Caenorhabditis elegans: one gene and its partner. The protein of the gene in region 1 purifies or fractionates together with the protein of each later gene. This does not show direct contact. Each region holds a gene or a part of one and is shown on either strand. Other genes may lie near its edges.

The links. The genes of interacting proteins can lie anywhere in the genome.
Region 2: the proteins of T02H6.1 (region 1) and tank-1 fractionate together in Caenorhabditis elegans (co-fractionation; one large-scale study listed by BioGRID). This does not show direct contact.

What each region holds. Positions count from the first base shown.
Region 1 is NC_003280.10:707,048-712,672, forward strand, and holds the start of T02H6.1 (WD_REPEATS_REGION domain-containing protein), read left to right. Parts: upstream 1-2,333; 5' UTR 2,334-2,341; coding exon 2,342-2,410; intron 2,411-2,458; coding exon 2,459-2,560; intron 2,561-2,703; coding exon 2,704-2,814; intron 2,815-3,014; coding exon 3,015-3,151; intron 3,152-4,439; coding exon 4,440-4,519; intron 4,520-4,565; coding exon 4,566-4,729; intron 4,730-5,202; coding exon 5,203-5,328; intron 5,329-5,513; coding exon 5,514-5,625. Other genes in the region: thoc-1 (Death domain-containing protein), read left to right, coding at 1,243-1,561.
Region 2 is NC_003283.11:1,282,320-1,287,837, reverse strand, and holds the start of tank-1 (Poly [ADP-ribose] polymerase tankyrase), read left to right. Parts: upstream 1-2,137; 5' UTR 2,138-2,153; coding exon 2,154-2,241; intron 2,242-3,576; coding exon 3,577-4,130; intron 4,131-4,179; coding exon 4,180-4,378; intron 4,379-4,428; coding exon 4,429-5,518. UniProt on the Caenorhabditis elegans protein: Poly[ADP-ribose] polymerases modify various nuclear proteins by poly(ADP-ribosyl)ation, a post-translational modification synthesized after DNA damage that appears as an obligatory step in a detection/signaling pathway leading to the reparation of DNA strand breaks and programmed cell death.

The sequences.
Region 1 (5,625 bases):
GAAAAAATACATTTTTTGAAAAAAAAAAGGTGCATTTTCAGAGATTTTTCCGGCTAAAAATCGCTGAAAATATTGATTTTGAACGATTTTTAGCCTGAAAAATTGCCGAAAATCCGCATTTTTTTGATGGAAAAAATACGAAAAAATCCAATTTCCCACCGATTTTCGACAAAAATCGCTGAAAATTCACTTTTTTTCAGAAAATTTCACGCAAAATGTCTAGAAAATATGAAAAAAGATCATTTTTTAGTTTAGTATAAAACCCGTAAAAAATCACAAAAACTGAAAATCTCGGCGAAAAATCGTATTTTTCCATGATTTTTCAGCTTTTTCCAGCAAAAATTGACTCAGACAACCGATTTTTAACAGTAAAAATCACAAATTTCTATATTTTTCGATTAAAAATGACTGAAATCTCATATTTTTCATGATTTTTCAGCATTTTCCATCAAAAATCGGCTGTAAAAACCGATTTTTAACTGAAAAAATCACAAATTTCTACATTTTTCCATTAAAAATGGCTAAAAATCGTATTTTTCCATGATTTTTCAGCTTTTTCCATTCAAAATCGGCTCAGAAAACCGATTTTTAACTGTAAAAATCACAAATTTCTACATTTTTCCATTAAAAATCGGCAAAGATATTGATTTTGAACGATTTTGAGCCGAAAAATCGCTGAAAATGCATGTTTTTCAGAAAATTTCACTCAAAATGTCTAGAAAATATGAAAAAAAAAGATCAATTTTTTAGTGTAAAACCCGTAAAAATTCATAAAAACTGAAAATCTCGGCCAAAAATAGTATTTTTCCATGATTTTTCAACTTTTTCCATCAAAAATCAGCTCTAAAAATCGATTTTTAACTGTAAAAATAACAAATTTCTACATTTTTCCATTAAAAATGGCTAAAAAGCATATTTCCCATGATTTTTCAGCTTTTTCCATCAAAAATCAGCTCTAAAAATCGATTTTTAACTGTAAAAATCACAAATTTCTACATTTTTCCATTAAAAATGACTAAAAAATCGTATTTTTCCATGATTTTTCAGCTTTTTCCATTCAAAATCGGCTCAGAAAACCGATTTTTAACTGTAAAAATCACAAATTTCTACATTTTTCCATTAAAAGTAGCTGAAATCTCATATTTTCCATGATTTTTCAGCTTTTTCATTCAAAATCAGCTCTAAAAATCGATTTTTAACTCTAAAAATCGCAGAAAATCCCAAATTTTCCATTTTTTCCAGCCAAACATCTTCTCCGAACCCCTACACAGATACAATTCTCTCGGATGAGCATCTCACCCAGTTGGCTCGAGATTTATCGAAATTTAAATCAAATCTCGCGAAATGCTTTGGCACAAAGCTCCCCGCCGATGACGTCACCAGTGATGAGAAGATTTGCTTTAAAATTCTCAAAAGTTGGGCTGAAAAGAATGGGAGAAGCGGGCGGAGTCTGTTGAATACGCTAATTACCGATTTGGATGTGATTGAGGTGGCTCAGGCGAGCATGAAGGTACGGTTTTTCAGCGAAAAAATGAAGAATTTCAGCGAAAAATCATTTTAAAAATGAAATTTAACGCGAAATTTCACAACAACCACATGGGTCTGCTAAATCGAAAATTGTAGTTTGTAGTCTAGCAGACCAGTTTTCATCAAAACCACTTGGGTCTGCTAATTCGAAGTTTGTAGTTTGTAGTCTAGCAGACCCATCCTTTTCAAAGCCACAATGGTCTGCTAAATCGAAACTTGTAGTTTGTAGTCTAGCAGAACCATTCTCTTCGAAACCTTATGGGTCTGCTAAATCGAAATTTGTTGTTTGTAGTCTAGCAGACCACTTTTTTTCAAAATCTCTTGGGTCTGCTAAATAGAAATGTGTAGTTTGTAGTTTAGTAGACCGCTTTTCATCAAAACCACATGGGCCTGCTAAATCGAAATGTGTAGTTTGTAGTCTAGCAGACCCATTTTGAATTCCTTTTTATTAAAAAAAAATAAATTTTGATTAAAAAACATTAATTTTAAAAATATCGAAATTTGCCGCTTTAATAAATCCTTTTTTTCAGAAAATCAACGAATCGACTGCATAATTCGCCTTCAAATTGCTGTAAAATCGGATTTCTTCATTATTTTTCACTTTAACTTATTAATTTTACCCTTAAATTTGTTTTTTTTTCGGTCTCATTGCCTGTTTTTTATTCATTTTTTCTCCTTTTTTTTTCATATCAAAATTTGTATTTTTACTATTTTTTTCTGCAATTTTTTCTTGTTAATGGCGTTTTTCATCGCCGGTTTTAACTTGAAATTTCTAATTTTCAGATTAATTTTAATGCCATTTTCAGCTTAAAAAATGCCTGCATTTTTTGTAAAAGCCGGCGCCAAAAAGAGCGGCGGTGGAGCTGCAGCGACTAGGAAAAGAGTGAGCTTTTCCTTCCTTTTTTCGCCAAAAAATTAAAATTTTTTATAGAAAAATGGTGGAAAATCGGATGCAAAAAGCGAGGAGATGGCCGCCAAAATGTCACGACGTCAGAAGATTATGGCAGCTACGGAAATTCATTCGGATGAGGAGGTTTATTCGCTGAAAAACTGAAAAAAAAAATGAGCAAAAATCGACGGATTTTCCGTTAAAAATCTAAATTTTTAGTGAAAAACTCTTGTTTTTTAACTAAAAAATTAGAAAAATTCAAATTTTTCAATATTTTCTTGTTCCAGGACTCACTCGCCGGAAGCGCCGCAGCATCAGAAGCCGGAAGTGACGTGGAATACGAGGATGCACACGAGAGAAATTATCGAGAAGCCAAGAAGCTTTTGGACAAGATTCAGGTGAAAAATGACTGAAAATCCGGGAATTTCACATCGAAAACCTGCGAAAATTACGAATTTTTCACCAGATTGACTGCTCAAAAATTCAATTTTAAGCTCAAAAATTCAATTTTAGAGCTAAAATTCATTTTTAAGCTCAAAAACCTTAATTTTAAGCTCAAAAATTCCAGATTTTCAGCCCAAAACTTCCCAAATTTCAGAGCACAACAACGACACAAGAGGAGGTGGCAGAGAAGCTCCGGGACGATGCAGTTGCACGTACAGGAACACAAGTTAAACGAGTTGCCGATGTGGTTGAGCTTGAAGATGATCTGGAAATTAGCTATAAACCACATAGGTACAGTAATCCGGCCCGTAACCTGAAAAAAATTTTGCGAAAAAACCAGAGTTTTCCAACTGAAAATGCTCAAAATTTCACTGAGAAAAATATAAAAATCGCTGAAATTTTGGAAAATTGAAGTCGTTTTTCATCGAATTTCATGCTTTTTTTTCAATTTTTAGCAAGAAATTGACTGAAAATTCAAAGTTTAAAGCTTGAAAACATACGAAAAACTGGAAAAATTTCAAATTTAAACTGAAAAATCGGAAATCTTCGACTTTTCCAGTCTCTACAGTACCCCCACTCCACCTACAGTAACCCGAAAAAGCTAGAAAATTGGAAAAAAATTGAGTTTCCTTGCTAAAAATCGAAGAAAATATGGAAAATGGGTCGAAATGCGCAATTTCAGTTATATCCAGAACTATAGTACCACTGTCACAACGATTTTCAGATTTTTTGAAATTTCTGGAGCTACAGTACCCCCACTCCCCCACCTACAGTAACCCAGATTCTTCCAGATTGTTCTTCCAGACTCCTACAGTACCCCGACCATATCCCGCCACCAACCCCAAAGCAATATCCCCCTTCAAAAGACGAAAATCCAAATTTTCCAAAACTACAGTAATCCTACAGTACTCCTACAGTACCTCTACAGTACTATTACAGTACCCCGACCATATCCCGCCACCAACCCCAAAGCAATATCCCCCTTCAAAAGACGAAAATCCAAATTTTCCAAAACTACAGTAATCCTACAGTACTCCTACAGTACCTCTACAGTACTATTACAGTACCCCGACCATATCCCGCCACCAACCCCAAAGCAATATCCCCCTTCAAAAGACGAAAATCCAAATTTTCCAAAACTACAGTAATCCTACAGTACTCCTACAGTACCTCTACAGTACTATTACAGTACCCCGACCATATCCCGCCACTAACCCCAAAACAATAACTCTTCAAAAGACGAAAAGTCATATTTTCCAAATCTACAGTAATCCTACAGTACTCCTACAGTACCTCTACAGTACTCCTACAGTAACCCGACCATATCCCTCCACTAACCCCAAAGCAATATCCCTTCAAAAGACGAAAATCCAGTTTTTCCAAAACTACAGTAATCCTACAGTACTCCTACAGTACCCCGACCATATCTCCCACTATCCCCAAGCCCTAATTCCTTCAAAAGACGAAAAGTCAAACTTTCTAAAACTACAGTAATCCTACAGTACTCTTACAGTACAAAATTCTTTTCCGATCTCTACAGTACCCCCACTCCCACCTACAGCAACCCAGCTTCTTCCAGATTGTCTCCGCTCTGTGTCGCCTTCTCACCAGATGCAAAATATGTGATTAGCTGTGGAAAAGAGTCGAGTATTGTCAAATGTAATCGATTTTTTGCCGGTTTTTAGTCAAAATTGCCAGTTTTCAGTCAACGTGGGCACCCGTAAAGTCGTCGGAATCATCAAAAGAACCAAAAAAAGAGCCGGAGTACCGGAAGAGCCGACAAATGCTCATTATGGAGTCATTTTCACTGTTGCAGTGTCGCCAGATCAGAAATTTATCGCTTCTGGTGGTTTTGATCAGGTTGTCAAGGTAAAAATGTGGAAAAAATCAGAAAAATAGCAAAAAAAGCCGATTTTTACCTGAAAAAAGCTCTAAAATCGATGAAATTTCACATTTTCTGGCTTTTAAAATTGAAATTTTGAGCTAAAATTGCAAAATAAGCCGATTTTTATCTGAAAAAACCTCGAAAATCGCAAAAATTTCACTTTTTTCCGATTTTAAAATTCAAACTTTGAGCTAAAATTGCAAAAAATTGACTTTTTTCCATCGAAATGCGTAAAAAATTAAATTTTTTACCTTAAAAAAGCTCAAAAATCTCTAAAATTTCACATTTTTTAACTTTTAAAATTCAAATTTTCAGATAAATGGCATTTTTTATACGAAAAACACTTTTAAAAATGCATTTTTAAACTTAAATTGTAGAAAATTGCCTATTTTCCACCAAAAAATTTGAAAAAAAATCAGTTTTTTAGGCACCTAAAAATATGAAAATTTTGTTTCAGATTTGGAATTTCGACAGTTTGGAGCACATCAAGGACCTCTCCGGACATCGTGGACCAATTTTTTCGCTCACTTTTCAGCTAAAAACCAATAATCTCTACTCGGCCAGTCAGGATCGATCTGTGAAGGTTAATAATTGGATTTTAAGCTGAAAATTAACATTTTCCACCGGAAAATTTGATTTTTCAGCTAAAAATGCACTAAAAATCTGGAAATTTGAGTTTTTCCAACTAAAAATCCGCGAAAAAATCCAATTTTCCATTGAAATTCTCACAATTTCCACCCATTTTCAGCCCAAATCTCTTCATTCCAGATGTGGGATATCGACCAGCTCGGACTCGTCGACACAATGTACGGACATCAGGACGGTGTCCAGCAGATTGGTGTACTGTCGAAACAGCGTGTGGCAACTGTTGGTGGAAGAG
Region 2 (5,518 bases), on another chromosome or scaffold:
AATCGGCAAGCTGCCGGAAATTAATTTTTTTTTTTGAAAAAAAAACCGGCTGGTTTGCTGAACGGCAATTGCTGTTCATCCCTATACCTGCCTACCTACCGCCAATTCAGATAATGTGGTGAAAAATTTCACGAAAAAAAGAGCAAAAAGAAACTATAATTTTAAAACCGGAGTTTGAAACCGTCATCGTCGTTGTCATTAATACCATTATCATTATTGACATCAGGAATCACGCCATTTTGCTCCGTTATCATACACATCGTCATCATCATCATCGTCGTCAACACCCATCAAAAAAAATGTATAAAAGGTTTCACTCAAAAAGAGGGTTTTATCATTTTATCAAGACTTAAAAATGTCCTCGTAGTTTGACTATGATATCATTTTTCCATTATCACCATGTTTGCGTTTTCCTTTTTCCAAACATTTCTTTTGCACGGCGATGATGCTTGGCATTTTGCACTCGTGAAAGTTTCAGCTTGCCAGTGCGCCGCCGCGTTGTCCATGGCAATGCGGCATTTGTATTCAACGGCAGAAAATTGAGAGATTTGTTTCTCTCGCGTACCTCGCATGTTTTGATTTTTCGACCTCGGTTTGTCCCTCAAACAAAGAGAATCGTTTGTCGCCCTCACCGCGCACGCATATACGGAAAAATGCTACAATTTCAAGGCGTGATAGAGATCAGCTCTCCCGCTGATTTCTATCGATTCCAATAGAGATTTATTCACCTCATACGGCGGCATTAGTTTGGGCGGTGTTTTTTGGTGTTTGTTGTGTCCAAAATACGAAAACGGAAAACCTTCATTTCAGCTTAGTTTCTAAAATTGATTTTCTTTTATATAATTTTTTTCAATAATGCTGAATGCACGTGCTCGCCGGCTGCCCTTTTGCAATGAGACTATGCAAACGCGCCCGAATGCAAACGCTGCTGGTGGACCCCTCTCGGACATAAAATTATATTTCTTATTTTTTCGAATCTGTTTTTCTTTCATATTTTCGAAAAAAAATGACAATATTATTTGATGAAAAAACTACGAAAATTGGCAAAACCAAAAACAAAACCAAGGAAGGATTTCTGGCTTCCCTCATAAATTGAAATAAAAGAGTTTACCGAACTAGGCCATTTTGGCTCGGCCATATCTGGGGTAGATTTACGGCGCGTTGCTTGTCGCGTCGCGGCTCGAGTTTAGTTGTAAAACTAAATGTATTTGTCCGTGTGGAGTATACAACTTTGCCACGCGTTGTCCAGCAGGAGATTTGCAATAGAGCAAGAAAAATTCAATGAGGAAGGCCGGACCCCGTGAAAATTCGCAGAAAAGTAATGAAATCGAAACAGAAAACTCCGAGAGGACTACACGGCCGAGGATTTTTCCTCGTCCGCTCTTTTGTTAGGCCATTTTTTGAATTGGTAAACGGAGTTTTCTAGTCCCCGAAAATATAATTTAGACCAACCAGCGAGCACGTGCTGCCATTGTCGGACCAAAAAAAAAACGCCAAAAAACCGTGTATTTTTTTTTCGTTTTTTGATCCAAATGCTCATTTCGTCAAAACTGATGCCTACTTTGGCTGCCTACCTACGCCTACCTACCTACGTGCCTACATATCGCCTATTCTTTGCATTTTGGCGTCCAGTACTTCACTTTCCACAGAATAGATAAAAAAGTGTATTTTGACAAAAAAATTTATTTGACCTCGGCGCATTTGATCTCGAGAAAACGTGGCGATTTTTGTTTTTACCAGTTCCAAACTACATGTAACTTTGCCACGTCTGCCAGATTTGCGTTCCAACATGTCAAAATTTGGAAAAAAAAACCGTTGTTTACCGAATGACACACAAACACTTTTCCCCATCTCATTGCCCTCTTAATCTTTGCAAGGTTTCACAACATTTTGAGAATTCTGCTAAACCGTCTGCGTCTCTCATTCCTCCACCCTATTGTCACGGTTTTGCTATCTGTTTCTCTCGTTTTTTCGTGGTTTTTTCTCTTTTTATGACCTTGCGTGTATTTGCCAACTATTTTTTGTTTGTGGGCATTTTTTTTGGGGAAAAAGTTTGATTTCTGGATGATTTGAATATTCGTGTATTTTATAAGCTTTTTCCTAACTTTTCTACTTTCGTTCATTTCTGTTGTTTCAGCCGTAATCCGAACAGCATGGCTCGTCGTGTTAATAAGAAAAAGTCTCCTGTAAAAGCTGCCAGGAAAATTGATGGGCAAATCGGGAGACGAGTTGTGGACGGAGGTAAGAACCGAGAAAATTAACTGCAAGGTTCATGTTTTGTTTTGTCTAAACTTTCTCAAAATATGTTAAAATTTAGATTCAAATTTTTTTGTCACAATTTTTGTTTTTTTTTGGGAATTGGAATGTTTCCTAAACTAACCAAACATCATAGTAAACCTTTTGAAAATTTAGAAACTGTTTTTTTTCAATTAAAAAATGACACTTACTCAATTTCACTCATCATAAATTTGGATTCCAGCTAAAAAGAATCTAAAAAAATTATTTTTTCTACGAGTTTTAATTTTTTTGTGTTTAAACATTGTAGTGGTTAAAGCTAAGAACCTGGACCAGCTTTTGGAAATTTACCAAAACTTCCCATGAGAATTGCATATTATTGTGAATACACTATCTGTATTAATTTTTTTTAATTTAAATTTTCCATCACATTTCTTTGGTGCTAGCAATCAAATTTTAGAGATCCGATGATACTAGGTTTATTGGGTACTTGGTATTACATCAGGTTGATAATATTGTATTTCAAAAATATTACTACGTACGCTCGCGAGAGATGTGCAGTATTTTTTGTAGCAAAGAAAATGTAGGAAAAGGTTTGTTCTATATAAAATAGTTCATTTTTGTTGAACCGCTTCAAATAAGCATCAAGTAGTGCCTGAAAGTTGCCGTTTGCCAGAAAGGTGTCGTTAAAGTTTTTCAGCGAACGGCAACTTTCAGGCACTGTTTGAGGATTTTTTAAAAGCTTTTAAGCTTTTCAACAAAAATGAGTGCTACTTTCAGATAGAGCAAAAGTTTAACTACATTTCTATATTAATTTTGGATGAAAAAATGCTGCACAGCTCTGCTTCGCGCTTCCGAAAATGGCTTCAAAGAAAAACAAGCCTAGAAACACGATACAAATAATTCAATGAAATTTTTTGTTTAAATAATGTGTTATTTATTCCAGAATAAAAATTCCAATAGTTAAATTAGAATAGTTTCTGAATTATCCAAATTTTTTAGCTGAAAGTTTGCGAACATATTACAGTTCAAAATTTACAATATTGTAATATTGCCGTATTTCTTCCAATAGTGTGACACCCCATTGCTCAACTTTGACAGCTTATATCTCAATCGGCGTCTGTTTTATTGAAAAATGGTCAACTGATAAAACACTTGTTATATGTTTTTCTATATATTTGTAGTTAAAATTTTATTGACATTTTTTGATGGAACCAAGATATATTCGTTTAATGTAAAGTAGTTCGGTGCAATTCTATTAGATGAAATACGGTACATTCCAAAAATAAAATAATAGTCAAAAAAACACAGAATTTCAAGGTTGATATTCTTGAATTTCAGTCCGTGCCAAGTCGTCCCGTCAACGCCATCAAGCAGTTCTCTACCAGGCTCCCACTCCCACTGTGATTCGCCGTAAGACCACGAAAACGGCGATCGTCAAGAAAACAGTTGTAGTTGTGAAAAAGGGTGGAAAAGTTGTCAAGAAATCCTCTAAAACTGGTCAGAAAGTGAAAGCAGTGAAGGCGCCAAAAGTCAAAGCACCATCCAAGAAGGGAAATGATCGACTTACTCCACGTGTCATCACTGAGTACCAGGAGAATCCGTTTTTCTACGATCCTCAGGTTCCAGAGTACATCAGTGCCTCCGTCTACCACAGATGGATCACCAGAGCCGTTCGCAATGGAAATATGAAGGAAATCAAAGACTATTATAAGTCGAAGAAGTGCCAAAAATCTGCAATCTACACGAGCTTTGCCTATAGTTTCGACACTTCGGCGTGTGATGAAGCATTGAGGCAGGACATCAAATTTGCCACCGAGTTCTTCAAAATGAACAATAAAATGGAAGTTGATAATTCCTATCATCCGGGCAAAGAGCCGAATCTGTTGCAAAAGGTATGGTTTTTTTGAATTTAATTTTCTCTTTAAAAATGTTTTATTACAGAAAACCACCGGTCGCAAGAACTACTACATGCTCGGCCGCCACACGCGCCAGATTGAGATGGGAAGAGGTGGCAAAGAAGGAAACAATGCTCTTTTGAACTATGACACAAGGACCGATGAGCCAAATCCATTGACGAAGCTTATCGAGGATAATGTGACATACACTAAGTTGTATCAACTTTGCAAGATTCCAGACGGACGTGAGTTTTTAAAAAGTTTTTCGAGTGTCTTTAAACCTAATGATTTTCAGCGATTGTCGAACATCACATCGAAATGCACTTCGTCACTGCTGTTCGAATGGGCCACCGCGATCTTGCATCCGCGTTGGCACAGGGACCCGTCAAAATGCACTGCAACGATCTTCACCGTGCAACTCTGAAAGATCAGAAACTGCCCGCCAAAATCCTTCCAGTATCTGTTGCGAAAAAGGCGTACATGAATAAGAATATCACTCCACTTCACACTGCCGCCATTTCCAACTCCACCCATATGCTAGAAGCGATGAGAGCCGTCTACCCAACGATCAACATTCCGGATCAAGACAACTGGTATACGATGCACTATGCCGCGTGTGCTCCTGGAACTGCTCCTATGGAATTTCTTCTCAAAAACGGTGGATCTGTTACGATGCTCACCAAGCAAACCGAAACCCCACTGCATGTGGCTGCCAGAGCTGGAAGAGCTGTGAATTGCACATTTTTGATGAAGGAAATGCTGGATTTGGAGAAAGGAGACGACGGAGAGAGCACAATCAGAGCTGACAGATCTATCATCAATGCGAGAACTCGCTCTGGAAACTCTGCACTTCATTTGGCGGTGCTACGTAATAACCTTGACGTTGTTGATGCCTTGCTCGCCGAGCCAACCATCGTTGTAGACAATCCAACATCCACAGGACAAAACAGATTAACTCCATTGATGATGGCATGTGGAAAAGGATACCTAGAGATGGCGAAGAAGTTGGTTGAGAAGGGAGCATTGGTGGAAGGAAAAGATAAGAAAAAGCGTACCCCGTTAATCCACGCAATGCTCAATGGTCAGATTCACACTGCAGCCTTCCTCCTCGCCAAGGGAGCTAGTCTTACTCTCGCGGATTCGTCTGGAAATACTGCTGCTCACTACGCTGCTGCATATGGATTTTTGGACTGCTTAAAGCTTCTTGCCTCAATTGATGATAATATTCTATCCGAGCCAAATGACTGGCAGCTTTATCCATTGTCCGTTGCATATCTCAAAGGTCATTATGGAATTGTTACGTGGCTCCTGGAAGGTCCGCACAAGGATAAAGCTAACATTAATGCAAAGGACAACAACGGTGCAACTCTTCTCTCGAATTTGCT